Linked DNA regions of Stegostoma tigrinum. The protein of the gene in region 1 binds, or shares a complex with, the protein of each later gene. Links are inferred from orthologs where the notes say so. Each region holds a gene or a part of one and is shown on either strand. Other genes may lie near its edges.

The links.
Region 2: lamtor5 (region 1) and lamtor2 share a complex: the UniProt entries of both Homo sapiens proteins name them as parts of the ragulator complex. The link is inferred for Stegostoma tigrinum from reciprocal best matches to the Homo sapiens genes LAMTOR5 and LAMTOR2.
Region 3: lamtor5 (region 1) and lamtor1 share a complex: the UniProt entries of both Homo sapiens proteins name them as parts of the ragulator complex. The link is inferred for Stegostoma tigrinum from reciprocal best matches to the Homo sapiens genes LAMTOR5 and LAMTOR1.
Region 4: lamtor5 (region 1) and fnip1 share a complex: the UniProt entries of both Homo sapiens proteins name them as parts of the lysosomal folliculin complex. The link is inferred for Stegostoma tigrinum from reciprocal best matches to the Homo sapiens genes LAMTOR5 and FNIP1.

What each region holds. Positions count from the first base shown.
Region 1 is NC_081374.1:828,283-836,203, forward strand, and holds the start of lamtor5 (ragulator complex protein LAMTOR5), read right to left. Parts: upstream 3,010-7,921; 5' UTR 2,947-3,009; coding exon 2,912-2,946; intron 1-2,911. UniProt on the Homo sapiens protein: As part of the Ragulator complex it is involved in amino acid sensing and activation of mTORC1, a signaling complex promoting cell growth in response to growth factors, energy levels, and amino acids.
Region 2 is NC_081400.1:6,456,270-6,463,364, forward strand, and holds lamtor2 (ragulator complex protein LAMTOR2), read right to left. Parts: upstream 3,017-7,095; 5' UTR 2,962-3,016; coding exon 2,894-2,961; intron 1,782-2,893; coding exon 1,619-1,781; intron 1,181-1,618; coding exon 1,091-1,180; intron 491-1,090; coding exon 383-490; downstream 1-382. UniProt on the Homo sapiens protein: As part of the Ragulator complex it is involved in amino acid sensing and activation of mTORC1, a signaling complex promoting cell growth in response to growth factors, energy levels, and amino acids.
Region 3 is NC_081359.1:110,907,925-110,915,228, reverse strand, and holds the start of lamtor1 (ragulator complex protein LAMTOR1), read right to left. Parts: upstream 3,019-7,304; 5' UTR 2,925-3,018; coding exon 2,883-2,924; intron 1-2,882. UniProt on the Homo sapiens protein: Key component of the Ragulator complex, a multiprotein complex involved in amino acid sensing and activation of mTORC1, a signaling complex promoting cell growth in response to growth factors, energy levels, and amino acids.
Region 4 is NC_081366.1:27,651,912-27,659,608, reverse strand, and holds the start of fnip1 (folliculin-interacting protein 1), read right to left. Parts: upstream 3,007-7,697; 5' UTR 3,004-3,006; coding exon 2,852-3,003; intron 1-2,851. UniProt on the Homo sapiens protein: Binding partner of the GTPase-activating protein FLCN: involved in the cellular response to amino acid availability by regulating the non-canonical mTORC1 signaling cascade controlling the MiT/TFE factors TFEB and TFE3.

The DNA.
Region 1 (7,921 bases):
TCACCCCCCCTGCCCCCTCCTCTCCCCCTCGCTCCCCGCCCTCACCCCCCCTGCCCCCTCCTCTCCCCCTCGCTCCCGCCCTCACCCCCCCTGCCCCCTCCTCTCCCCCACGCTCCCGCCCTCACCCCCCCTGCCCCCTCCTCTCCCCCTCGCTCCCGCCCTCACCCCCCCCTGCCCCCTCCTCTCCCCCTCGCTCCCGCCCTCACCCCCACTGCCCCCTCCTCTCCCCCTCGCTCCCGCCCTCACCCCCCCTGCCCCCTCCTCTCCCCCTCGCTCCCGCCCTCACCCCCCCTGCCCCCTCCTCTCCCCCTCGCTCCCGCCCTCACCCCCCCTGCCCCCTCCTCTCCCCCACGCTCCCGCCCTCACCCCCCCTGCCCCCTCCTCTCCCCCTCGCTCCCGCCCTCATCCCCCCTGCCCCCTCCTCTCCCCCTCGCTCCCGCCCTCATCCCCCCTGCCCCCTCCTCTCCCCCTCGCTCCCGCCCTCATCCCCCCTGCCCCCTCGTCTCCGCCTCGCTCCCGCCCTCATTCCCCTGCCCCCTCCTCTCCCCCTCGCTCCCGCTCTCATCCCCCCTGCCCCCTCCTCTCCCCCTCGCTCCCGCCCTCACCCCACCTGCCCCCTCCTCTCCCCCTCGCTCCCGCCCTCATCCCCCCTGCCCCCTCCTCTCCCCCTCGCTCCCGCCCTCATCCCCCCTGCCCCCTCCTCTCCCCCTCGCTCCCGCTCTCATCCCCCCTGCCCCCTCCTCTCCCCCTCGCTCCCGCTCTCATCCCCCCTGCCCCCTCCTCTCCCCCTCGCTCCCGCTCTCATCCCCCCTGCCCCCTCCTCTCCCCCTCGCTCCCGCTCTCATCCCCCCTGCCCCCTCCTCTCCCCCTCGCTCCCGCTCTCATCCCCCCTGCCCCCTCCTCTCCCCCTCGCCCCCGCTCTCATCCCCCCTGCCCCCTCCTCTCCACCTCTCATCCCCCCTGCCCCCCTCCTCTCCCCCGCTCTCACCCCCCCTGCCCCCTCCTCTCCCCCTCGCTCCCGCCCTCACCCCCCCTGCCCCCTCCTCTCCCCCTCGCTCCCGCCCTCACCCCCCCTGCCCCCTCCTCTCCCCCTCGCTCCCGCCCTCACCCCCCCTGCCCCCTCCTCTCCCCCACGCTCCCGCCCTCACCCCCCCTGCCCCCTCCTCTCCCCCTCGCTCCCGCCCTCACCCCCCCTGCCCCCTCCTCTCCCCCTCGCTCCCGCCCTCACCCCCACTGCCCCCTCCTCTCCCCCTCGCTCCCGCCCTCACCCCCCCTGCCCCCTCCTCTCCCCCTCGCTCCCGCCCTCACCCCCCCTGCCCCCTCCTCTCCCCCTCGCTCCCGCCCTCACCCCCCCTGCCCCCTCCTCTCCCCCACGCTCCCGCCCTCACCCCCCCTGCCCCCTCCTCTCCCCCTCGCTCCCGCCCTCATCCCCCCTGCCCCCTCCTCTCCCCCTCGCTCCCGCCCTCATCCCCCCTGCCCCCTCCTCTCCCCCTCGCTCCCGCCCTCATCCCCCCTGCCCCCTCGTCTCCGCCTCGCTCCCGCCCTCATTCCCCTGCCCCCTCCTCTCCCCCTCGCTCCCGCTCTCATCCCCCCTGCCCCCTCCTCTCCCCCTCGCTCCCGCCCTCACCCCACCTGCCCCCTCCTCTCCCCCTCGCTCCCGCCCTCATCCCCCCTGCCCCCTCCTCTCCCCCTCGCTCCCGCCCTCATCCCCCCTGCCCCCTCCTCTCCCCCTCGCTCCCGCTCTCATCCCCCCTGCCCCCTCCTCTCCCCCTCGCTCCCGCTCTCATCCCCCCTGCCCCCTCCTCTCCCCCTCGCTCCCGCTCTCATCCCCCCTGCCCCCTCCTCTCCCCCTCGCTCCCGCTCTCATCCCCCCTGCCCCCTCCTCTCCCCCTCGCCCCCGCTCTCATCCCCCCTGCCCCCTCCTCTCCACCTCTCATCCCTCCTGCCCCCTCCTCTCCCCCTCTCATCCCTCCTGCCCCCTCCTCTCCCCCTCGCATCCCCCCTGCCCCCTCCTCTCCCCTCGCATCCCCCCTGCCCCCTCCTCTCCCCCTCGCATCCCCCCTGCCCCCTCCTCTCCCCCTCGCTCCCGCTCTCATCCCCCCTGCCCCCTCCTCGCCCACTCTCATCCCCCCTGCCCCCTCCTCTCCCGCTCTCTTCCCCCCTGCCCCGTCCTCTCCCGCTGTCATCCCCCCTGCCCCCTCCTCTCCCGCTCTCATCCCCCCTGCCCCCTCCTCTCCCCCTCGCATCCCCCCTCCCCCCTCCTCTCCCCCTCGCATCCCCCCTCCTCTCCCCCTCGCATCCCCCCTCCCCCCTCCTCTCCCCCTCGCATCCCCCCTCCCCCCTCCTCTCCCCCTCGCATCCCCCCTCCCCCCTCCTCTCCCCCTCGCATCCCCCCTCCTCTCCCCCTCGCATCCCCCCTCCTCTCCCCCTCCCCCCTCCTCTCCCGCTCTCATCCCCCCTGCCCCCTCCTCTCCCCCTCGCATCCCCCCTGCCCCCTCCTCTCCCGCTCTCATCCCCCCTGCCCCCTCCTCTCCCCCTCGCATCCCCCCTGCCCCCTCCTCTCCCGCTCTCATCCCCCCTGCCCCGTGCCCCCTCCTCTCCCCCTCTCCCCCGCTCTCATCCCCCCTCCCCCTCCTCTCCCCCTCTCTCATCCCCCCTCCCCCTCCTCTCCCCCCCTCCCCCTCCTCTCCCCCTCCTCTCCCCCTCTCCCCCTCCTCTCCCCCTCTCCCCCGCTCTCATCCCCCCTGCCCCCCTCACCACAATTTCTCTCCCCTCCCCCTCCCCTTCTATATTTAATGTTATTTCTGACTCTATAATTATTTCTCTCTCACTCTCGATTTCCCCTGAATTTACTTTGAAGATTATCTCCCTATATTGACTATTTATGTGTTTAATGTTATTTCTCTCTCACGTCTCTCGAAGTTGGGAATCTAAAGCCGACTCCATTCTTCACATCCGGGAACTACCCAAGGGTTACCCGGAAATAGCGTCACCAGTGGGCGGTACACCCGCGTTTACCCGCCTGTTCACCCAGTGTTGACCCGCCACTGCAATAAAACCCCGCCTCCCCACCTTCATTCCCCCTCCTTCCCCTCCATCCTGGCATCCTTTTCCCTCCCCTCGGACCCCAAGGACTAGCCCCGCCCCCTGCACTAACACCGCCCCCTACCTTAACCCCGCCCCTGCAGTAGAACCCCTCCTATTTTCCCTGCCCCCTTCTCTACGCCACCCCCACAATTACCCTGCCCCTCTGTGATGCCCTTCGGACTAGCCCCGCCCCCTGCAATAACACCGCCCCCTTCCTTGACTCCTCATCTGCAGTAGAACCGCTCGTATTATCCCTGCCCCCTACACTAACCCCGCCCCCCACGTTAACTCCGCCCCTGCAGTCATACCCCTTTGACTGACCCTGCCCCCTTAACACACCCTCCCCCCTGTACGAACGCCGCACTTTGCCTAAACCACGCCCCCTACACTAACCCCGCCCCAATACTGACCACGCCCTCTACACTAACCCCACCCCTACACTAGCCCCGCCCCCTGATCGCCCGGTCATTGGACTGGGCGGTGTGCACGACCTGCTGATTGCAGGGACAGAAGGAGTTCCGGAGAGTCAGGGTAGAATGTAGTGGCCAACGCTCACCAGAAGGGATTGGGGACGGTGGAAATTTGGGAGTATATAGCTGTACAGTACATTGCTGAGACTATTTTTGGAATACTGCGTACAATTCTGGCCACCCTAATTTAAGAAGGATATTGTTAAACTTGACAGCGTGCAGAAAAGATTTCAAACGGTGTTGGTACTGTTGGAGGGTTTGAGCTACAGGGAGAGGCTGAATGGGCTGGAGGTTTTTCCCTGGAGTGCTGGGGACTGACACCTTACACAAGTTTATAAAAGCATGAAGAATATGGATAAGAGTGAATAGTCAAGGTCTTTTTCCTAGGGAAAGTGGATTCCTAAACTAGAGAACATTGGTTTAAGTGAGAGGGGAAAGATTTAAAAGTACCTGAAGAATGTGTTTTTCACACAAACAGTGGTGTGTGTATGGAATGAGATGCCAGATAAAGTGGTGGAGGTGTGTAGAATTACAATATTTAAAAGTCAAGATAATAAAATGTGAGGCTGGATGAACACAGCAGGCCAAGCAGCATCTCAGGAGCACAAAAGCTGACGTTTCGGGCCTAGACCCTTCATCAGAGAGGGGGATGGGGAGAGGGAACTGGAATAAATAGGGAGAGAGGGGGAGGCGGACCGAAGATGGAGAGTAAAGAAGATAGGTGGAGAGAGTGTAGGTGGGGAGGTAGGGAGGGGATAGGTCAGTCCAGGGAAGACGGACAGGTCAAGGGAGTCACGGGTGGTCTCTTGTTCGCTCCACACTGCCCTCCAACCCCACCACATCCGGCACCTTCCCCTGCAACCGCAAGAAATGCTACACTTGCCCCCACACTTCCTCCCTCACCCCTATCCCAGGCCTCAAGATGACATTCCACATTAAGCAGAGGTTCACCTGCACATCTGCCAATGTGGTATACTGCATCCACTGTACCCGGTGCGGCTTCCTCTACATTGGGGAAACCAAGCGGAGGCTTTGGAGACCGCTTTGCAGAACACCTCCGCTCAGTTCGCAAGAAACAACTGCACCTCCCAGTCGCAAACCATTTCCACTCCCCCTCCCATTCTCTAGATGGCATGTCCATCATGGGCCTCCTGCACTGCCACAATGATGCCACCCGAAGGTTGCAGGAACAGCAACTCATATTCCGCCTGGGAACCCTGCAGCCTAATGGTATCAATGTGGACTTCACCAGTTTCAAAATCTCCCCTTCCCCTACTGCATCCCTAAACCAGCCCAGTTCGTCCCCTCCCCCCACTGCACCAGACAACCAGCCCAGCTCTTCCCCCCCCACCCACTGCATCCCAAAACCAGTCCAACCTGTCTCTGCCTCCCTAACCGGTTCTTCCTCTCACCCATCCCTTCCTCCCACCCCAAGCCGCACCCCCAGCTACCTACTAACCTCATCCCACCTCCTTGACCTGTCCGTCTTCCCTGGACTGACCTATCCCCTCCCTACCTCCCCACCTATACTCTCTCCACCTATCTTCTTTACTCTCCATCTTCGGTCCGCCTCCCCCTCTCTCCCTATTTATTCCAGTTCCCTCTCCCCATCCCCCTCTCTGATGAAGGGTCTAGGCCCGAAACGTCAGCTTTTGTGCTCCTGAGATGCTGCTTGGCCTGCTGTGTTCATCCAGCCTCACATTTTATTATCTTGGATTCTCCAGCATCTGCAGTTCCCATTATCTCTAATATTTAAAAGCCATCTGTTTAGGTATATGAATAGGAAGGGTTTAGAGGGATATAGACCAAATGCTGGCAAATGGAACCAGTTCAGATTGGGATGTCTGGTTGACCTGGATGAGTGAGAGTCTTTTTCCGACGATGATGACTTCAGCTTGGACGAGGGGGCATAGCTACAAATTGAGGGGTGATAGATTTAAGACAGATGTCAGAGGCAAGTTCTTTACTCAGAGAGTGGTAAGGGCATGGAACACCCTGCCTGCCAATGTAGTTAACTCAGCCACATTAGGGGTATTTAAACGGTACTTGGATAAGCATATGGATAATGATGGGGTAGTGTTGGGGGAAGGGCTTAGATTGGTTCACAGGCCAGCGCAACATCGAGGGCTGAAGGGCCTGTTCTGCGCTGTATTGTTCTATGTTCTATGTTCTAGTTGGATGGAAGGATCTGCTTCTGTGATGTATAACTCTATGACTTCACAAATCTTAGAATTCTTTGAGGAGGCAATAGGCACGTTAGACAAAGGAGAGCCAGTGGATGTGATCTATTTAAATTTCCAGAAGCTTACAGAATACTGAGAACCTTTTAATAGAGAGGATGTTCCCGCTAGTGGGAGAGGCTAGGACCGACAGTCTCAGAGTGAAGGAAAGACCCTTTAGAACTAAGATGAAGTGGAATTCCTTCAGCCAGAGGGTGGTGAATCTGTGGAACTCATTGCTGCAGAGGGTTGTGGAGGCTACGTCATTGTGTGTATTTAAGACAGAAATTGATAGTTCTTGATTGATAAGGAGATCAAAGGTTGCAGGGAAAAGGCAGGAGACTTGAGTTGAGAAACATATCAGACATGAATGGTGAAGCAGGTCTGATGCTGAAATAGTCTAATTCTTATCCTATATGTTATAGTCTTAAGGCTTTTAACTAGGTGCCACACAGGAAGTTCCTAAATAGCACAAGAACCCTTGGTGTTAAGGGCAAAGTATGGCATGGATAGAGGATTGGCTGACTGGTATAAAGCAGAGAATCAGGTTGAAAGGATAGTTGCCAAAATGGCAGCCAGTGACTACAGTCAGATCTATTGTAACACAATAGTTGCATTCCTGCGCAACATTGCATTACAGAAAATCACACTGTAGGAATAATGGGCCCAATGGGAAAAGCGGTGTTAGGGGTAGACCGTCAAAAAGTATCACTCAAAAGCATAATACAAAAGAAAGCGCAGTTTAAATAAATGTTTAATTCACATCTAATAATGAAATAAAGATAAATTTAATGCCTAATCTTGAAAAATCGTCAAGATGATTTTATGGGGGAGGAGTTTTTGAGGTTGCTCTATTGTTAATGCAGAGGCTGAGCGTCATCATCATCATCATCATCACCTTCAGGTGCAGGTATAATTTGTCTGATCTCTCCTCATTACTTAAACCTGAAGTTCAGGTATCATTTTTGTAAACCTATGTTGTACTCCCTTCATGGCCAATGTATCCTTCCCAAAGCCTGGTGCCCAGACCCACACTCAGTACTCCCAAGTGCAGTCTAACCAGGGTTCGATGTAACTGCAGCATAGCTTCTATATCCTTGTACTCCATCCATCTAGATATAAAAGCCAACATTCATTAGATATTTGAATATTTTCTGTACTTGTTTGTGGTATTTTATAGATGTATGCATCAGAAGCCCCAAGCGTCTTTGAACATCTACTATATTTAACTCCATACCATCTAGAAAGCACCCAGATCTATCATTTTTCGGTCTAAAGTAGGTAACTTCACACTTATTTACATTGAACTTTGTTAGCCAGCTTTGCCCTTTCTCCCAGTTGATACCCCATTGTGATGCTATTGCCAAAATCTACACTGTCTAAAATGCCATTTAACTGTGTCATCAGCTTTCTATTTATGACTTTATATGCCATTATCAAAGAAATTAATAAATAATGTGAAGAATTGTGGGAATGACACTGCTGATTCTATGATGACCTTTCTACAGCATGGGGCTAGATACAGACAAAAGCTTGCTCTACAACGTCCCCATCAAACGCTCCCAAGACAAGTATAGCTTGGTGTCAGGTACAGTGTAAAACCTTTTACTCTCTTAAACAGAAAGCAAACCCTCTCTATCAAACATTCCCAAAACAAGGTCAGCATGGGTGTAGATACAGAGTAAAACTCTTTCTACTCTTAAAAATAGAAAGTAAACCTCTCACTATATTGTCCCCATCAAACTTACTTAGGACAGAGACAGCATGAGGTTAGGTACAGTGTAAATCTCCCTCTACTCTTTCATGTTGTCCCAGTTTCATTTTAGAATAATGATACTTTGTTGGTTGGATTTCTGGTATGTCTGTGGCTGTTTTAAATTGTTGTTTATTTTACTCCATTTGACTCTCCTAACCAATGAGAAGCATGTTTAAAGGGCTTTCCAAGATTACAACATTACATATTGTAATCAACCCCTATCGACAGATAACTCTTGCAGTGAACCTGTCCCACAGATAATTAGCTGGAGACTTTCACACTGCTCATCAATTGTCCTTATAATTTGAATTGGAAGTAGTTCCTAGCTGTAACTGTCCTGAGGGATATTAAAATTGGTAAATAATTCTCTCTCATAATGAGGACTTGGA
Region 2 (7,095 bases), on another chromosome or scaffold:
CAGGACGGTGTGGGGGGGGGCGGGGGGGTGTCTTGGAGGGGAACTCGCAGGGGGCTGGGGTTCCCCTGTACCTGCTGCCCGTTGCCCCCATCCCCAGGGGGTAGGGGTCCCGGGTTTGGAAGGTGCTGACTGGGGGGAGTCGCTGTGAATGGTACACACTGCTGCGACTGAGCATCGGCTGGGGCGGGGGGGGAGTGGGGGCTTGTGGACACGGTGCCAATCCAGGGAGGGCGAGGGGGGCTGCTTTGCCCCCAGATGGGGTCAAGCTTCTCCAGTGTTTGTCAGAGCTGCCCCCACCCAGGGCAAGTGGCGGGGGGGGGGGGGGTGCATTCCCTCACACTCCTGCCTTGTTAATGGTGGGACAGGGGAGTTGGGACGGGAGTCACTGGCTGCAGGATTCCCAGCCTCTGACCTGCTTTGGTAGCCCCCGGTATCGATATGGGGCAATGGTATCGATATCTGAGCAATGGTAACCCCCAGTGTGGTGATACTGAGGCAGGGAGTGGGAAAAGAGACTAGAGTGATGTTAACACCACTGAATGCCGGAGGGGGGGGCACAATGGTTAGATTCTCCCTCAGTGGTGACCCCTGGATGTTGACAGTAGGGTATTCAGCGATGGTGGTTACAATGACTGACTTATATTGGAGGCTGGGAAAGAGAGATTTTCAAACCAGGGAGGGAACCGGGGCGGGGGGGTGGGGGGTATGGAGGAAAGGGCAGGAAATTGGGAGATGGGGATGACCAAGATCAGCCATCGAAGGGTGGATGGACTCGATGGGCTGAGCGGCGCACAACTGCTCCTACATCACATCGTCTCATCGCTACAAAGCTGCTAGTGAACGCAACATGGACCGAGGACCACACAGAGGAGCCCTCACAAGCAAACGCTAACAACCCCCACCCAGCTCCATCGCTCCCGACGCCCCGGCCCACCGCACTGCCCCCTCCGCCCACCCGCCGACGCTCCCCCCCCCACCAACCCCCCGGCCCACCTCACCCCCAGCCACCTCCGCCCAAACACCCTTCCAGCCCCGCAACCCACCCACCATCTGCACAACCCCGTCACCTACCCACCCCCAGCCCGCTCACCTTCGCCTGCAGCATCCCGAATCCCACGGTCTCCTTTGCGTACATGCACAGCAGCAGGTTGGCCACACGGGTGATCGCCACCCTGCCTTCCTGAAACGGAAAGAGAGAGACACACGGGGGGTCAGAGAGGGCAAGACACGCACGCACACAGGGGTGGGGTACGCAGGGCTGCCCACACCCTCGAACAAGGGGGATTTAGCATGGACGTACAGAGGGTGAACAGGCTCAAAGTGGGCAATGCCCAAAAGCACGCATGGAACCCCCCTCCCTGAGAAAGGAGGTGGTCGGTTTTGCACCCCCCGCCGCCCCAATCCTCGCGGCTCTCACTTGACCCAGTCTGTTGCAAGCCAGCCCCTTGCCGGACGGGATATTCAGCTACGGACGGATTCGTGGCGCAGGACCAGATCCCCCACAAGCGATGCCACTCTTCTTGTGGGGGGGGGGGGGGGGGGGGGGAAGAGTGACCATGTCAGTGCTGAAAGGGAACAGTGAGCCTCCCCTCACCACCCGCCCCCAGCAGCCCCACACCATGCAGTCCATGAGGATGAATCGTAGCTTGTCCTCGTTGAAGGCCTGGTGCCCGTTCTTGGCGTAGGCAGCCCAGATGTTGCTGGCGATCGCTGCAGTCACCCGGGCATCTGTGTCTCCGTACCCCGAATACGCGAGGAGGGAGCCCTCGTTGTTCAACAACCTGTGGGGGGGGGGGGGGGGGTCATGGTTACTGTTAGCCGGTACATACCCCTCCCCAAATGTCACCCCTGCACAGACATCCAACCAGCACCCCCCCCCCCCCCCCCGGAATCCCACCCCGCTCCCCTCTTCACCACCCCCCCCATCCGTCTGTATACCAACACCCGCTCACAGGCTCCAATCTCCTCCCTAAACACCACCTCCCCACCCACAGAGGGTTTCACCCCCACCATAACACCACCCACTCCTCCGCTCCTGCCCCCAACTCACAGAAGCCTTCTTCCAAATGCCTCCCCCCCCACCACGGGGTCTCCAGCCCCCGCCACCCCCCACTCACTGCCCCCACGGGGTCTCCAGCCCCCGCCACCCCCCACTCACTGCCCCCACGGGGTCTCCAGCCCCCGTCACCCCCCACTCACTGCCCCCACGGGGTCTCCAGCCCCCGCCACCCCCCACTCACTGCCCCCCACGGGGTCTCCAGCCCCCGCCCCCACTCCCCCCACTCACTGCCCCCACGGGGTCTCCAGCCCCCGCCACCCCCCACTCACTGCCCCCACGGGGTCTCCAGCCCCCGCCCCCACTCCCACCACACACTGCCCCCACGGGGTCTCCAGCCCCCGCCCCCACTCCCCCCACTCACTGCCCCCACGGGGTCTCCAGCCCCCGCCCCCACTCCCACCACACACTGCCCCCACGGGGTCTCCAGCCCCCGCCCCCACTCCCACCACACACTGCCCCCACGGGGTCTCCAGCCCCCGCCCCCACTCCCACCACACACTGCCCCCACGGGGTCTCCAGCCCCCGCCCCCACTCCCCCCACTCACTGCCCCCACGGGGTCTCCAGCCCCCACCACCCCCCACTCACTGCCCCCACGGGGTCTCCAGCCCCCGTCACCCCCCCACTCACTGCCCCCACGGGGTCTCCAGCCCCCCGTCACCCCCCACTCACTGCCCCCACGGGGTCTCCAGCCCCCGCCCCCACTCCCACCACACACTGCCCCCACGGGGTCTCCAGCCCCCACCCTCCATAACACACTGGGGCCACGCCTCCCAAGGTCTCTCCCTGACTCCCCCAGGCCCTCCCTCCGCCCTCGCCGCAGCCCCCTCACTCACAGGGTGCTCTGGACCCCCGCGGTGTTGGCCTGGCTCAGGACCTGGGTCAGGGCTTTGGGCCTCAACATCTTCGGGAGTCGCCGGAAGTCCACAGTGACCGGAAACAGCCGTGCACTCTGGGATCTGTAGTTCCAAATCCCGCCGCCTACAGCCCGTGATCTCACTCTCACGTGGTCCTGCCCCCCCAACCCCTTCCGCCGGAACATGCATCTCTGCGCATATTTTAACCACGACCGCCTCCTTTGGGAGTTTTAATCGGTGAGCGTTATTTTCCGGAATATAAGGCAATCATCTGCGGCGAAGGTTAAAAAAAAATTCTCCCGCCGCCATCTTGGTAAGGAGAACGCGGGCGCTATGCCGTCGCCATATTTGTAAGGGAGATCTCGTCGAAGCTGCCCAAGGAGACGCCTTGTCGCCGCCATATTGGCAATGGGGTACCCATCCAGACGTTCCCATTGCTTCGGAAATAGCTGAAGCCACCCTGTTCACCATATTTGTAAAGGGGAAACAATCGGCTAAGACGGAAGTGCGGCTTTGTCACCATCTTGGTAAAGGAGAATTGTCTAATCAGGTTTTATTGTGCTGTAATGGTAGTTTTCCTACCCCTGGACAGGGAGGCCCGGGCTCAGGTCCCACCTGCTCGGAAAAAACAATACATTAACCATCAGCCTTTAAACAGACAACAAAACAGAACGGACACCACGGTGCTAACATTTACAGCTGCAACAGATGACAGAAGCTTGGCAATGTCCCCTGAATTTCTGTAGCGCCATGCATAACCTGCAGAATTGTTAAAGCACAAGAGGATGCCATTAAGCCCATTCCATTTCTGAATGAGTGCTCCCCCTGCGAGCTTCTACTTATTGCCATGTATGTTCTTCCATTTCAGATGGTGATCCTACTCCCACTTTCTGATTACCAATAGTCTTCGATTCCGTGCCCACTAGTCCAATCTCTCTGCGAATGGGAACAATTTCTCCCTCTCCGTTCCATTCCTGACCCCTAATGGTTTCCAAAGTTTTGGTAAAATCTCCTCCCTGACTTCTCTTCTGCAAGAAAACAGTCCTAGCATCTCTGATCTATTCACAACACTGAAATCCATCATCCCTGGAACCAATCCTGCAAATCCTTGCCTGTATGCTCTGGTGCCTTCTTAAAATGTGATGCCCACAACTGGACATTATTTCAGCTAAAGCTAACTTAGCATTCCACGCAATTTTAACATGATTTGCTTTGGAACCAAATTAAGAGGAAATGACAGGAATAGGCCATTCAACTGCTCAAGCCTGCTCTGCTATTCAATGGGATCAAGGTTAATCTAACATTCCTCACATCCACATTGCTGTATTTTCCCTGTAAGTTTTGATTTCCTGACTGATCAAGAAATCCAATCTATCTGAGCCTTAAATATACAGGAGGAGTCTGGCCCCTCTCTGCAGCAAAGAGTTCCAAAGACTCTCAAACACCTCCTCTCAGAAAAGAAATTCCTCCTCACTTCAGTCTTAAACTTATTCTAAGACTATGACCTAAGGTCCTAGACTCTCCCATGAGGAGAGTCCCCGGTGAGCCCCTTCGGAGTCCTATATGTTTCAATGAGATTATTTCTCATTCTTCTAAACTCCACTTAGTAGAGTCCCAACCTGTTTAATCCTTGCTCAAAAGACAATCCCTCCATACCTTGGATCACCTCAAACTTCTCTAAACTTCTTCCAATGAAACTATCTTTATCTAAATAAGGGGACTTAAACTGCTAACAGCACTCCAGATGTGATTTCCCCAGTGCCTAGCATAGTTGCAAATAAGACTTCTCTACTATGATACTCCAACCCTCTTGAAATAAGGGCCAACATCTCACTAGCCCTTCCTGACTACATGTGGTTAGCTTGCTATGTTTCCTGCAGTTTGTTGCAGCTTTCTGCAGCTTCTCTCCGGTTGAGTAATATTGTGTTCTTTTGTTCTCTCTTCCAAAATGAACAACTTCATATTTTCACTTGGTATAATCTATTTGCCAAATTTTTATCAATATTTCTCTGTAAACTGTAAAGAGTCACAGAGTTGTACAGCACAGAAAGAGACCCTTCAGTCCAACTTATCCACGCCAACATAATCCAGCCCCAGATTATAAAATGTGAGGCTGGATGAACACAGCAAGCCAAGCAGCATCTCAGGAGCACAAAAGCTGACGTTTCGGGCCTAGACCCTTTATCAGAGAGGGGGATGGGGTGAGGGTTCTGGAATAAATAGGGAGAGAGGGGGAGGCGGACCGAAGATGGAGAGTAAAGAAGATAGGTGGAGAGGAGAGTATAGGTGGGGAGGTAGGGAGGGGATAGGTCAGTCCAGGGAAGACGGACAGGTCAAGGAGGTGGGATGAGGTTAGTAGGTAGATGGGGGTGCGGCTAGGGGTGGGAGGAAGGGATGGGTGAGAGGAAGAACAGGTTAGGGAGGCAGAGACAGGTTGGACTGGTTTTGGGATGCAGTGGGTGGAGGGTAAGAGCTGGGCTGGTTGTGTAGTGCAGTGGGGGGAGGGGATGAACTGGGCTGGTTTAGGGATGCGGTGGGGGAAGGGGAAATTTTGAAGCTGGTGAAGTCGAGACATTAACCGCCTCTACCTCTCCACCCCCTCACCCACTCCAACCTCTCCCCTGCAGAACGGACAGCCCTCCGCTCCCTCCGCTCCAAACCCAACCTCACCATCAAACCCGCAGACAAGGGTAGCGCAGTGGTAGTATGGCGCACTGACCTCTACATCGCCGAGGCCACACGCCAACTCTCCGACACCACCTCCTACCGCCCCCTCGATCATGACCCCACACCCGAGCACCAAACCATCATCTCCAACACCATTCATGACCTCATCACCTCAGGGGACCTCCCACCCACAGCCTCCAACCTCATCGTTCCCCAACCCCGCACGGCCCGTTTCTATCTCCTTCCCAAAATCCACAAACCTGCCTGCCCTGGTCGACCCATCGTCTCCGCCTGCTCCTGCCCCACCGAACTCATCTCCACCTATCTGGACTCCATTTTCTCCCATTGGTCCAGGAACTCCCTACCTATGTCCGTGACACCACCCACGCCCTCCACCTCCTCCAGGACTTCCAATTCCCTGGCCCCCAACACCTCATTTTCACCATGGACGTCCAGTCCCTATACACCTGCATTCCGCATGCAGATGGCCTCAAGGCCCTCCGCTTCTTCCTGTCTCGCAGGCCCAACCAGTCCCCCTCCACAGACACCCTCATCTGCCTAGCTAAACTCGTCCTCACCCTCAACAACTTCTCTTTCGACTCCTCCCACTTCCTACAGACAAAGGGGGTGGCCATGGGCACCCGCATGGGCCCCAGCTATGCCTGCCTCTTTGTAGGTTACGTGGAACAGTCCCTCTTCCGCACCTACACAGGCCCCAAACCCCACCTCTTCCTCCGGTACATTGATGACTGTATCGGCGCCGCCTCTTGCTCCCCAGAGGAGCTCGATCAGTTCATCCACTTCACCAACACCTTCCACCCCAACCTCAAGTTCACCTGGGCCATCTCCAGCACATCCCTCACCTTCCTGGATCTCTCAGTCTCCATCTCAGGCAACCAGCTTGTAACTGATGTCCATTTCAAGCCACCGACTCCCACAGCTAACTAGAATACACCTCCTCCCACCCACCCTCCTGCAAAAATTCCATTCCCTATTCCCAATTCCTCCGCCTCCGCCGCATCTGCTCCCACGATGAAGCATTCCACTCCCGCACATCCCAGATGTCCAAGTTCTTCAAGGACCACAACTTTCCCCCCACAGTGATCGAGAACGCCCTTGACCACGTCTCCCATATTTCCCGCAACACATCTCTCACACCCCGCCCCCGCCACAACCGCCCAAAGAGGATCCCCCTCGTTCTCACACACCACCCCACCAACCTCCGGATACAACGCATCATCCTCCAACACTTCCGCCATTTACAATCCGACCCCACCACCCAAGACAATTTTCCATCCCCACACCTGTCTGCTTTCCGGAGAGACCACTCTCTCCGTGACTCCCTTGTTCGCTCCACACTGCCCTCCAACCCCACCACACCCGGCACCGTCCCCTGCAACTGCAGGAAATGCTACACTTGCCCCCACACCTCCTCCCTCACCCCCATCCCAGGCCCCAAGATGACTTTCCACATTAAGCAGAGGTTCACCAGCACATCTGCCAATGTGGTATAC
Region 3 (7,304 bases), on another chromosome or scaffold:
TCTGCCATTTCGGAAGAAGGGTCTCAACCCAAAACGTCAGCTTTCCTGCTCCTGTGATGCTGTATTCCTCTACCACCACATGTTATCACAGAAAAATAGATACAAGTTCAGCTGAGTGACAGCAAAGAGGGTTTAACGGTGAACAGTTCTATTGTGTCTTGGAAAGTGGCTCATGGTGGGAATTCCCAGGGTCAGTCCCCAACTACTGCTTTTGACACATTTAGAGTTGTTGACTTCGCTGCCTTGAGCAAAATTTCAAATACTGCGTATGATTCAAACCTTGCAAACACCAAATTGTGGAGGATAATGATGGAATTTATGAGAAAGCAAACAGTGAAATAGCTTCAAGAAGCCAAGTTGCCCACAATCAGCTCCTAATGTGTATGAAAGAAAGCTTTCTTACACAAGAAGTGGTTAGGATCTGGGAGACACAGTATAGTGGAGACAGATTCAATCACGTTTTTCATAGGACGACCAGATGTGCACTTGAAGGGGCAAGGTTTACAGTGCTATGGGGAAAAGATGGTGGAGTCCCACAGACTAATATCTTCTTCCAGGGAGAAGGTATAGACACAAATGACCGAATGGACTCTGTACTATAACCTTTCTAATGATTAAGAATAGATAAAATAGGTAGATTGGTCATGAAGCTTTTAAAGTTTGCTCCATTATTTGTCGAGATCATGGCTGATTCACTACACCAACACCATTTTCCTGCAAATTACATATCATCTGCAACATCTTTAATATTTAGAAATCTATCAATTTGTGCATTTAATCATTTTATTCACTTATTCTGTGGGCATTGTTCGTTGGGACAGCATTCATTGCCCATCCCTCCATTCTCAGTGACCTGTCCCTTAGTCGGAGATACTTTCCCCTGGATTACACCCTAGAGTAGAGAGAAACTTTTTTTACATCTATTCTGTTCATCCTTATAAAAAGGATTTTCTAAGTTTCACCTTTCATTCTTCTAAACTCCACAGCATACTCAGTCTCCTCAAACTCTCCTCACAGGACAATCTCAACATCTTAGCAATCTATCCTGTGACTCTCCACTGCACTCCCCCTGTGTGCATCCTTCCTTCAATAAGGAGAGAAAAACTGTACATGAACAGTTAAGGTAAAGTCTCATCATAGCTCTATACAATTAAAGCAAGGCAGGCATCTTGACTCCTGTAATCTAATAATCTTGTTATAAAAGGTGAACATACTATTATTGTCATAATTACTTGCTGTACCTGCTTGAGATCAGTAAATTATGAACAAGGATATGAATAAGTTTTCCTCGGGCTTCACCACTTCAAGCCTGTTCCGAACTTGGTGGAATTCCTACTTTTTGTTGGGTTTCTCAACAAGGCCAGTTATGACTCCATGGATAGTGTCCTACCTTCTGTCAGAAGAATGTGCTTCCAGTCCCTCTCCACATCATTGAATATAAAATCAGTCAATGACCCAAGAGCAGTAATCAGAGAGTGATGCATTCAGTAACACCACCTTTTAGGTGAAATGTTAAACCAAGGACCAAGCACAATAAAAAAAGTTTTCTGGCCATAATGAAATTCTCGTGAGGAATCTTAGCATACACAAATCTGGTCTCATTTCTTATCTTGCAATGGTGACTACCTTGGAGGAAATGCTTCATTTGTGTCACAGAAATACAAAAACTGCTTAGTCATAGACAGTTGACAGGACAGAAAAAGGCCATCCGGCCCATCCTGTTTGTGCTAGCCAATCACCACCTGGCCGAACAATATATTCTAGCATTAGGCAATCTTTCTTTAGTTTCACTGAAACAAGTAAATCACACCACATCCTGGTTTTGGGAACTGTAGATGTCCAAGACAAGAATTTGAAACTCTTGTTCAGCAGAATTAGAGTATAATAAGTGAGTGACATCAGCTCTGCAAGGCAACAATGAGCTGATTTGAGATAATGGGAATGGGAACTACAGATGCTGGAGAATCCAAGATTACAAAGTGTGGAGCTGGATGAACACAGCAGGCCAAGCAGCATCTCAGGAGCACAAAAGCTGACGTTTCAGGCCTAGACCCTTCTTCAGAGAGGGGGATGGGGAGACGGAACTGGAATAAATAGGGAGAGAGGGGGAGGCAGACCGAAGATGGAGAAAAGAAGATAGGTGGAGAGGAGAGTATAGGTGGGGAAGTAAGGAAGGGATAGGTCAGTCCAGGGAATACAGACAAGTCAAGGAGGCGGGATGAGGTTAGTAAGTACAAAATGGAGGTGCGGCTTGAGGTGGGAGGGATAGGTGAGAGGAAGAACAGGTTAGAGAGGCGGGGACAAGCTGGGCTGGCTTTGGGATGCACTGGGGGGGGAGCGGAATAACTGGGCTGGTTTTGGGATGCGGTGGGGGGAGGGGATATTTTGAAGCTGGTGAAGTCCACATTGATACCATTGGGCTGCAGGGTTCCCAAGCGGAATATGAGTTGCTGTTCCTGCAACCTTCGGGTAGCATCATTGTGGCACTGCAGGAGGCCGATGATGGGCATGTCGTCAAGAGAATGGGAGGGGGAGTTAAAATCATTTTAACTGGTGTGTGGTTAACCCCACACACCAACCCCTCCAATCCAGGATAATGGCAAAGGGGTGGCGGGGGGGTTAACCCCGCACACCAACCCTCCAATCCAGGATAATGGCAAAGGGGTGGCGGGGGGGTTAACCCCGCACACCAACCCTCCAATCCAGGATAATGCAGGGGGAGGGGGGATTAACCCCACACACCACCACACCCCCCAGGCCAAAAGGAGGGGTCAGGCTGCACCACACCAGCCCTGAAGGGACTCAATGAGTTTCCAGGTGATTTTGCCGGGTGTTTTAAGGAGAAGGCGGACGCGGGGATTATACTGAAGGGTGATCCTCACCTGTTCACTGCTGTCGCCCTCACTGCTATAACAACAGCCCATGGTGGGAACCAGAGGAGCGCAGGCCGCGGGCTCCCTATTTACACCATCACATGATCGGGCCTAGCAACCATTGCGTCACATCCGACCCGAACTGTCAATCACCCGGACGAGCGCCCAACTGCCGACGTCATCTCCGCCGCAGACTGTCAATCATCGCTAGCCCCTCAATTCTCAACCGTTTTGGTCTGTCGATCATAATGGGAACCGCCCCTCTATGACATCAGATCCGGTTGGTCTGTCAATCATCCTGTGCCATTTTCTCGTAAATTGATCCTCAGTTGGGGTCAGAGTTCAAGCCTAGTTGCCTATTCGGCCCATTGTGTCTGTGCTATCTCTCCCCATGAGTGATTCCTGCAGCTTCTTCCTGTTCAGATAATGATCCCATTCCCATGTGAAAACCTCTGGATGCTGATTGATTGTTTGTTACGTGTGCTGAATTACAGTGAAAAGCTTTGTTTACCAGTGGTACAGGCAGATCATGGTAAGCAAGGATGTACATACAGATCAAAAAGACTTGGACAGAGGCATAGGGGTTACACAAGGCTTCAGTGCGAAAAGCGGCCCTCCACCACTACCCTCTGTCACTTACCTTCAGGACAATTTTGTTTCCAAATGGCTAGTTCTCCCTGGATTCTATGTGATCTGAAGATCTTGATCAAATCTCTCAACCTTCTCTTCGTTGTAGACAGTTCCAGCAGTTTTTCATCAGTTGATCCTTTTTTTTATCCACTCCCCTCATGAGGACAGTCAAGAATCAGCCACGTTGCTGTGGGTTTGGAGTCACATGTTAGCCAGACTAGGTGAGGATGGCAGTTTCCTTCCCTAAAGGACATGAGGGAACCAGATTGGTTTTCCCCAACAATCAACATCATTCGACTGTAAGAGGGTTCTCTAGCTATCCAAACAAACTCATAAAATTCAGACCTGCTCCTGCTTGGTCACATCTCAGCACTTTGTGCTTTAGACACTGTTCGCTAACTCACACAGGGACATGGACAGTTACTGATTTCTCAGGATTGTTAGCTTTGCAAAATGCCCATGTGGAAAAATGCCAAGATCCCATTATAGTGAAAATCCAGCCATCTTTTTTTCCTGTTCATTAACTGATCCTCTATCCATGAGAATATGTCATTCCCAATACCATGCGCTCTTATTTTGTAAAGTTACGTAGAACATTACTGCACAGTACAGGCCCTTCGGCCCTCAATGTTGTGCCGACCTGTCATACTGATCTGAAGCCCATCTAACCTACACTATTCCATGTACGTCCATATGCTTGTCCAGTGACGACTTAAATGTACCTAAAGTTGGTGAATCTACTACCATTGCAGGCAAAGCGTTCCATTCCCTTACTACTCTCTGAGTAAAAAAACTACCTCTGACATCTGTCCTATATCTTTCACCCCTCAATTTAAAGCTATGCCCCCTCGTGCTCGCCATCACCATCCAAGGAAAAAGGCTCTCCCTATCCACCCTATCTAACCCTCTGATTATTTTATATGTCTCAATTAAGTCACCTCTCAACCTTCTTCTCTCTAATGAAAACAGCCTCAAGTCCCTCAGCCTTTCCTCGTAAGACCTTCCCTCCATACCAGGCAACATCCTAGTAAATCTCCTCTGCACCCTTTCCAAAGCTTCCACATCCTTCCTATAATGCGGTGACCAGAACTGTACACAATATTCCAAGTACAGCCGCACCAGAGTTTTGTACAGCTGCAGCATAAGCTCTTGGTTCCAGAACTCATTTCTTGCAGTTGCTTCTTGGGTGGACAGTCAAAATAACAAGTTGTTGTAAATGACAGCTTGTGGTGGTCTCCAAAGGCCTGTTCAAGTTCTGGATGTGAGTTTGCTCGCTGAGCTGGAATGTTAGTTTTCAGACGTTTCGTCACCATTCTAGGTAACATCATCAGTGAGCCTCCGACAAAGGCTTCGTCGGAGGCTCACCGATGATGTTACCTAGAATGGTGACGAAACGTCTGAAAACGAACCTTCCAGCTCAGCGAGCAAACTCATATCCAGAAACTCAACCTGAGCTACAAATCTTCTCAAAACTCACCTGTTCAAGTATCACTTTTTTTAATTGCTGTTTAAAATTAATTTGTTGATTGAAAACTTCATAATCTATCAATGTTGCCAAGACAGTGATGAGGCTACGTCTCGACTCAGGCAGACACAGGATCACAGAATTGTTATTGGCATGGAAGGAGGCCATTCAGCCCATCGTGCCTGCACCATTAAATGAACAATTAATAAATCTGGAATCTTGACTAGTGATGGTGTTCATGGAACTATTATCAATGGTCATAAAATTCCAGTTGGTTCACGAATGTCCTTTCAAGATGTGGTCTGCCTTTCCCAGTTTGGCCTATGTGTGGCTCCAGCAACATGATTAAGTGGTGGGTGCATGTCAGTTTAAGGAGTTATAGAATCAGACAGTACAGGACCTTCGGCTCTTCAAGTCTATACTGCCAAAGGTCACACATTTATGACAGAGATGAGGAGGAGAGAGAGGTTTGCAGATTGGGCAGGTGTACAAGGTAATGAGAGGCATAGATAGATTCGGTAGCCAGAGACTTTTGCACAGAGCAGGATTGACTGCCACGAGGGGTCATAGTTTTAAGGTATTAGGAGGAAGGTGTAGAGGAGACGTCAGAGGGAGGTTCTTCACCCAGAGAGTTGTGAGCGCATGGAATAGTTTACCAGTGGTAGTCGTGGAAGCAGAGTCATTAGTGACATTTAAGCGACTGCTGGACATGCACATGGACAGCAGTGAATTGAGGGGAATGTAGGTTAGGTTATTTTATTTTGGGATTAGGATTATTCCATGGCACAACATGGTGGGCCGAAGAGCCTGTACTGTGCTGTACTTTTCTATGTTCTATGTTCTATAAGTGACAGATAGAATTTTTCTTTGCTCTACACAGGATGTAAGTGTTGTTGGTCAGTCCACAGCATTTCCTGTTTCCACACTGAAGGGATTCTATGATTTATGATAAGATCATAAGATGTAGGAGCAGAAATAGGCCATTCAGTCCATTGGATTTGCTGTACCATTCACTGAGATTGTGGCTGATCTGATAATCCTCAAATCCACATTCTCGCGCTTCCCCATAACCCTCAAATCTCTTACTGATTAAAAATCTGTCTATCTCAGCCTTGAACGTACTGAATGACCCAGCCTCAACAACCCTCTGCAAGAAAGTATTCCACAAATTCACTACCCTCAGAGAGAAGAAATATCAACTCTCATTTTCTCTTTCTCTCATCTGATGAATGTTTTTAACATTGTTTCTTGTTGCTGCATTTAACCTGCATCTGACCTCGGGTGAAATCTTTGAGGGTTCTGAATGATGTGGACTCAGACCCCTAGGTACCAGGGTAACTCACAAACCAGCAACCACCCTGCGACAGCTACTGACGAACATAAAGGACCCCGTACTGACAACCAATAAAACTAACATAACATACAAAAAACCATGACTGTGAAAAGCATTACATTGGCTAAACTGGAAGAAAACTGATATTAAGGAGATATGAACACCAACTAGCCACCAAGAGACACGACCTATTCTCACTTGTCTCATACTTCACAGACAAAGAAGAAGACAAATCTGACTGGGACAACACATCCATATTAGAGAGAGTAGGAACTGCAGATACTGGAGAATCTGAGATAACAAGGCGTAGAGCTGGATGAATACAGCAGGCCAAGCAGCATCAGAGGAGCAGGAAGGCTGATGTTTCGGGCCTAGAGCCTTCATCAGAGAGGGGGGGATGGGGTGAGGGTTCTAGAATAAATAGGGAGAGAGGGGGAGGCGGACCGAAGATGGAGAGAAAAGAAGATAGGTGGAGAGAGTGTAGGTGGGGAGGTAGGGAGGGGATAGGTCAGTCCAGGGAAGACGGACAGGTCAAGGAGATGGGATGAGGTTAGTAGGTAGATGGGGGTGCGGCTTGGGGTGGGAGGAAGGGATGGGTGAGAGGAAGAACAGGTTAGGGAGGCAGAGACAGGTTGGACTGGTTTTGGGATGCAGTGGGTGGAGGGGAAGAGCTGGGCTGGTTGTGTGGTGCAGTGGGGGGAGGGGACGAACTGGGCTGGTTTAGGGATGCAGTGGGGGAAGGGGAGATTTTGAAACTGGTGAAGTCCACATTGATACCATTAGGCTGCAGGGTTCCCAGGCGGAATATGAGTTGCTGTTCCTGCAACCTTCGGGTGGCATCATTGTGGCACTGCAGGAGGCCCATGATGGACATGTCATCTAAAGAATGGGAGGGGGAGTGGAAATGGTTTGCGACTGGGAGGTGCAGTAGTTTGTTGCGAACTGAGCGGAGGTGTTCTGCAAAGCGGTCTCCAAGCCTCCGCTTGGTTTCCCCAATGTAGAG
Region 4 (7,697 bases), on another chromosome or scaffold:
ACAAATAATGTGCTGTACTACTCAATATAAAATTTTCCATGATATGGAGGTGCCGATGTTGGACTGGTGTGGACAAAGTCATAAGTCACAAGACACTAGGTTATAGTCCAGCATGTATATTTCAAATCTCAAGCTTTCAGAAGACTGCGCTGCGCTTCACTTCACTTCACCTGACAAAGGAGCAGCACTTCAAAAGCTGAGATTTCTAATAAACCTGTTGGACAATAACCTGGTGTCACGTGACTGACATTTAAAATTTTCCAAACTCTGACAATCTGTTTTTATACTCCAACGCCAACGTAGAGTATGCTGCTGAACAAAAAAAAATCTCAACTTGGTCAGTACTACAGAAACCCACTTGGTAACAGACACTGAACTGATCCACACACAATGCATTCTGCACCATCAGGGCTTCTAACTGGTGCTCAGCATGAAGGAGCACAGATTCAGCACCCAAGATAATTCTCTCTTGACTAAATAACACTGTACTATCACTTCTGGTAGGTCAGTCCTGTTGACATGACAGTACATAGACATATACAGGGATGGTGACCGTATCCAGGGTATTATCGTTAAGGTATCCTTCTAGGAGTATGTCTTTTTGTGAGGCTGTAGCTTAATTAGTCCATTCATTAATTGCCAGGTCATTTCAGAAGGCATTTATGAGTCAACCCCACTGTTTGGTCTGCAATCCCATTTGAGCATGATGGCAGATTCCTTCCATGAAAAGACACAGTCTTTCACTACTACTGTTTAAAAAAAAGTGAAAATGTTAACTCTTCCTCTTTCCACCAAAAATGGTAGAATTGCTTATTAGGTTAAACAGTATCTGTGGATAATTTCAAATTTCTAGCATCCACATTATTTTGCTTTTGTCTTAAAGCATCCATGGTCCCTTTCACTGGGCAAAGATGCCAGCCTTTTTCATAAAAGTAAAATGGAACTAAATGACTGCAAAAAAAGTAGTTACATAATCTAAGAAAACAGAAACCTCATTTGGCTGTAAAGGATCATACAAGGGCTAATGTGAAATTGTTCATTTTGGCAGGAAGAATTAGAAAAGCATATCCTCTAAATGGTTTCAGAGGAAGAAGGAGCTGCAGATGCTAGAGAATCTGAGATTCTCTAGCATCAGGCCAAACAGCATCAGGGGAGCAAGAAGGCTGTCAGATGCAGAGAGATCTGGGCGTTCTAATGCATGAATCACAAAAGGTTAGTATGCAACTATAGCACATATTTAGGAAAGCCAACAGTAAGTTTCTAAAGGGTCTAGGCCCGAAACATCAGCTTCCCGGCTCCTCTGATGTTGCTTGGCCTGTGGTGTTCATCCAGCTCTACAATTTGTTACCTCAGATTCTCCAGCATCTGCAGTTCCTACTATTTCAGAAAGTTATTGCTGATGGGTCAGCTAGCTGGATGGCTGGTTCATGATGCCAAAAGTGTGGGTTCACCATGAAAGAGTCTCCTTCTCAATCTCTTTCCTCACTTGAAGCATGGTGACCCTCAGGTTAAACTACAACCAGTTATCTCTCTTAAAGAACAGTCCTTTGACCGTTAGCATTTTTGTTAAAGAATATTGACAGCCTCATGTGAATGTATTCAGCAACTAATTAACTACAAAAGTTAAACTTTTCATCTATCTAGCCAGGTTTCACACTGGGGCCTAACTTGGTCAAAAATACCATCTGCTGGGATCATAACAATTAAAAAAAACAAATTAATTATCTGTTTGGATTGAAATATTAACTTTCTTGAAAATGAGTGAACACAGATCCATGTATATTACTGGAAAATATGCATGAGTGGGTAAAAATCCACTGCACCCTGAAAAACATGAAGGCCAATTGTGATGTTTATAACTAGGAGTATTTAGCAGTTACATTAATTCCCATCCCTTTACTCTTGACTGCTTCTTTTTGTTGATTGGGACCTGAAAGTGAGGTCCAAAATTCTACTTGATTTTACATCTGCAAACATTGTGTCATATACACACATTTCTGTTAAACTCCACCTTAAACATAACTAATTTCCATTTCAAGACAACATAAACAAACATCAGGTTTGTAACATATTGTATTTGTCAGTACTGTATTCTGTTCCGTTCCTATTACATTGTTTGCACTATGGTGTAAATCCATGCAATTCCATTAATTATCTATTTTCAGTATGATACAGCTTTAAAAGAGGAAATAAACAGTAAGACATCTCGATCCATCTGCTCGTGGGTGCCAATTAATCCATCGTTGGGGGGCGATTTTTTTTAAAAAGTATTCGATAGCAAAATGATTTGTAATATGCATTTGTTTTAAATTAACAATCATAGAGTAGATTATATATCCGAAACTCATCGACCCGTGGAGAAAACAGACTGAATATTTTAATGTAAGGATAGGATTTTTAAAAAACTGGCATCAAATCGTCGTCAGTGTTCCTCGTATTTATTTCTATCCGAGCTTCAAGACATTTTTTCCTTCACTTTTTGACTTTTAGCCAAGTCTTTATCTCAATAATTGTCACAAGATGAGAATACACGTGTAGGTCCACCCAACCACAGGGAACTACATGTCCAAAGGCGTTCTCCTCAAAAAGGTAAAGAACAACAGACGCCTAGTAAGGCAGGTCTCACAATAACCACGATTACTCTCTGCACACGGACGAAACTCAAAACCATGGAAGAAACATAAAGAATATGCATCAATTCAGCGCGAGAACACACTTCCGTAATCTGGCTACAATGTATCTGGAAGCGTCACGTTCACTCACTCACTGTATCAATTTAACTACCGATACTCTTTGATGTAATTCTTCCCTAACAGGAAGCATTCAAAACACATTCGATCACGGTTCTTACCTGAAGGAACTGTCTTCCTTCAAACCTTTGATAGGGGAAAGTAAGCCATTCCGCTTATTAAATAGTTTCTGAAATAAAGTCGGTGGCATTTTTTTTCCTGTAGGTGAGAGAATCGGAGTGTAACGCACTACCCCATCGAGCTTCACTGTCATATGACTGAGATTGGCTTAGTGCCGCCGCTTCAGGAAAACTCCAAACGGTTTCTCTCATTGGCCCTCTGTCGACAGACCTGCTCTGTACCGAATGTAATTATTGGCTGTTTCGCGTCGTGTAACCACATGCTTAGTGAATTTTTTTTCAATGTTTTGGTTTTTCTTAGGGGTGTGTTCAGTGACTGCAAGGAATTGGTGTTTTGATCTCGCTTAGCAGTAAATACTGCAAACTTCTTAATACCATTAATGGCTCGCTGGTTTATATACGCATTACAAAACTGCAGTTTTCTTCACTCTACCACGCAAAATGCAGTTAGATTCAGATACAATTTTTGGACATGTTTGTTCCACAAGGCGGAGAGGACAGTGTAATTGTTGAGCTATGTGCCGCTTTTTGCACTAGCCAGTAGTTTTAAAATCACCAAATAAGGCAGGCATAGGAGAAAAATTGCAGCGACAACTCGAAAATTTAACATCAGGAATTTACAATGCAGTAACTCATCGCGTCTACTGGGTCGACTTTCCATTTTTTAAAATAAAATTTTAACTCCGCCCCCCCCTTTTGTTTAAAAACTTAATTCTGCATGCACGATTGCTTTCACAAGTTGTACAAGTCGGACCCATTGAGTGCCTTAAAACACTTTTTTGATTGTCTTAAAGTTTAGTAACGGGGTGTATTGGCCAATTTTAAAAACTTTTAGCTCATACCAGTTTACGTTTTTTTAAATACTAAATACAAGAAACCAAACATCCAATGGGCAGATTTTAAGTTCAGTCCAAAAAACCCAATTTAAGAATGGCATCTGATGGACAATGTTTACTTCCAATATAAATTTAAATAGTTTCAATCCATAATGGATGGCTAGGACACATCAGCTTTGTATCAAAAGGGGTCTCTGGGCCCATTGAGTTAATTCTACTTTTTCTCCACTGATACTTCCAGGCCTGCTGAATTTCTCCAGCAATTGCTGTAGGGTTTTGTTTGCTCCTATTATAGTGCACGATGCATCTAAAAACGTCTAAGGCTTCTCTAAGTTGCTCTAAGTTGAAATTGGTATGCACCACATCATCATCCCTGGTTTGAAACTGACCTAAACACACGGGTACTCTCTCAGCCATAAAGATGCTTCCTAAAATGAACTCTGAAATATGTCAGGTGTACCTGCATCTGCAAGAGAAACTAGTTCCGAAATGCAATTTCATTCAAGCCCAAAAGACAGTAATTCCCAGCAACTGAGATGTATGGTGTAAGCAGTTTGAACATCCTCTTGAAGAAAAAAGTTAGAAAAATAAACAGGTCAAGCATTATTTTTAAATTAGAAACAAGCAAAAAGATTTTTTTATTGTTAGGGTGGAAGGGAAAGATGCACACACATGCAACAGCGTTGAATATTGAGGTATATGTAGACTTTATCAATCTTAACAGCAGGGCCCTATTAAAATAGACAAGATTCCCACTGACACACGAGCATATTCATTATGTGGCTGCTCAGGAGGAATGTGGCGACAGAAGTCTTGAGCCAGACAGTTAGCAGGTGTGGGGGTAATTTACTCGCATTGTGTAAGTGTGGAGAGAGATCAGATCAGGGTGGGGGAGGCCAAAGGACTTAAGGAGAGCTCCACTGCTGTTCTGGTTCCAGAAGAAAAGTACATTCCTCAACTTAGCGTGGCCCAACTCTAGTTAATCATTCATTCCGACCAGATTTCTTCTGGTAGACCAACTCCGTTGCCTTGTCATTAATATTATGTATGACCTAATGATGATTCTGCTGCATATAATGTTTGTAACACTATTAGGCTGTTACATGTTTTTAAGTGAGCTTTGTCTACACAAACTACAGTTGCTTATTCTGATTTTCAAATGTTAATTCTCTCCCTCTGCACCCTCTCTGTCGCTGTAGCACTGTGTATTCTGCACTCTGTTCTGCCAACTTGATGCATTTTGTTTGGTGCAATCTGCCTATATAGCACACAAAACACTTTTTGCTGAATCCAGGTACATATGACGACAATAAATGAATCAATTATATGGTACACGGCCATGCAGGGAAACCAGTGGACTAGTAATACTATCACTGGACTATTAATCCAGGGACCAAACTAATATTCTGGGGACTTGGGTTCTAATCCTGCCATTGCAGAGAACGGAATTTGAAATTACTAGAAATCTGGAATGAAAACTCAAAATGACCATAATTCCATTTAGTTCATTGCCATCCTTTAGTAAGGTAACCGCTGTTCTTATCTGGTCTGGCCCACGTGTGACTTCAGACCCACAGCAATATGGTTGCCTCTTAACTGCTCTCTGGGCAGTTAGGGATGGGCAATAAATGCTGGCCTAACCAGCAATGTCCTCATCCAAACGAGTAAATAAAAAAAGGAAGAATTTTGAATTTCAACATTTGAACCTTTCTACTGAGTGGAAATCAGGACCTATAATTCTGCACATTTGCAACTGTTTTAACAGAGATAACAAAACGTCAAGCTGGATGAACACAGCAGGCCAAGCAGCAGAGGAGAAGGAAAGCTGACGTTGAGTCACGACCCTTCTTCATTTTCTGGATACCATACTCAAAGCAGAAGTTAAAGCAAGATTCTCCACGGTCAGTTTTTTTGCTCAATTAGGGCTTTTGATATATTTTCATCAAATAAATGAAACACAAAAATGAAAGTTACCAGTAGTATTGTGTCATTCTGAGACTTTTGGAATTATCAAAATGTGACAGTCTTAGTAGATTAAATTTATTTTAGATTTAGATTTATTTTTTTAAAAAAGCTTTTTTGCAGCAGGTACACATAATTAAGTGCCTTGCTATACCAGTTAAGAGGTCAGTTAAATGATAAGTAATGAACGCAGAGCATTGGCCCAATTCTACCGCTCTCTCGTCCCGTGCTAAATGTCCACACAGTGCTGCTATAAAGAGTGAGAAACAGTTAACTAAGAGTCAAATAAAATTCTTTTTTGGAAGATTATTTTTTGAATGCTACAAGCTGGCAAAAAAAATGCAACGGAGGTCCAGTATGTAAACCAAATGCATAACTGCCACATCTATGAAGCATGTTAGCAAGAGATTGCAAATGTAGTTATCCGTAACTGAAAGTTAAGGACTGAGTGGTTAATAAACCTCTGAGCTTTAAGTACATTGAATCCACAATACTCAATCTATATTACTTCAAAATAACACAAGAAAGCATGATATGATGTGCAGTGCCAGGTATTTAAAAAATAAACAAGGTTGTAATAAGTTTGAAAACCTCAGACAAAACTTGAAGCAGCACAGGAATCACATTTATATTAGGACCACAGGGGGAAAAAAAAAACACACATGAACAGTGAGCACTTGCTTTGTGACAAGGAAAACAAAGCTCAAGCAACCGCCAAAAACAGCACAGGATAGAATTTTTTAAAAAACAGCCACCAGGCATTGCCAGCATTTGCAGAAGACAGGGGCCCACAGAATAAATTGTCTACCAAATTCTCAGACAAGATTTGGAAGGCCAAAGGTGCCCGCTTCAGATGTAAGCTTTTTAAACAAAGGATAGATCTATGCTTTTTTCAAATTAACTGTTGCATAATCAGATAAGCAGTGGAAATAAAGATAGCAGTTGGAAATTAAGGGTTATATAAAGCAAAACTTCAGTCATGTCTAAAGAGCACGAGAGAGAATATGCCACTTCCCCTTGAGAAAAGTTGAAAAATTAGCTTCATGTAAAAGTGGACTTTAGGATTGACTGTCTGCAATTGATGTCTTTCAATCAACAGCAAAAAAAAATTAATTGATCAGTTTGTCAGTCATAATTTACATAATTATGTTGGACTATTACACAAAGATGATGTCATACTGATGGAAACATAGAAGATAGGAGCAGGAGGCCATTCACCCATTCTAGTCTGCTCCACCATTCATCACAATTATGGCTGATCATCCAACTCAATAGCTTAGTCCTGTGTCCTCCCCGTAACCTTTGATCCCATTCACTCCCAGTCCTATATCTAGCTGTGTCTTGAATATATTCAATGTTTTGGCATCAACCACTTCCTGTAGTAACGAGTTCCAAAAGCTCATGAACTGTTGGGTGAAGAAACATCTCCTCATCTCCATTCTAAAGCATCTAGCCCGAATCATCAGATGTGACCCCTGGTTCTGGACACATTCACCATCGGGAACATACCCCCCCCATGCATCTACACTGTCTAGTCCTGTTAGGATTTTATAAGTCTCTATGAGATTCCCCCCTAATTTTCTGAGCTCCAGCAAAAACAATTCTAACCTAGTCAATGGTCTAGGCCCGAAACGTCAGCTTTTGTGCTCCTGAGATGCTGCTTGGCCTGCTGTGTTCATCCAGCTTCACACTTTGTTATCTTGGATTCTCCAGCATCTGCAGTTCCCATTATCTCTAACCTAGTCAGTCTCTCCTTGTACATCAGTCCAGCCATCCCTGGAATCAGCCTGGTAAACCTTTCCTGCACTCCTGAGAGCAAGAGCATCCTTCCTCAAAAAAAGGAGACCAAAACTGCACACATTACTATGGGTGCGGCCTCACCAAGGCCCTGTATAACTGCAACAATACATCCCTGCTCCTGAACTCGAAACCACTCGCATTGAAGGCCAACACACCGTTCGACTTCTTTACCACCTGCTGCACCTGCATGCTTACATTCAGCAACAGGTGCACAAGGACACCCAGGTCTT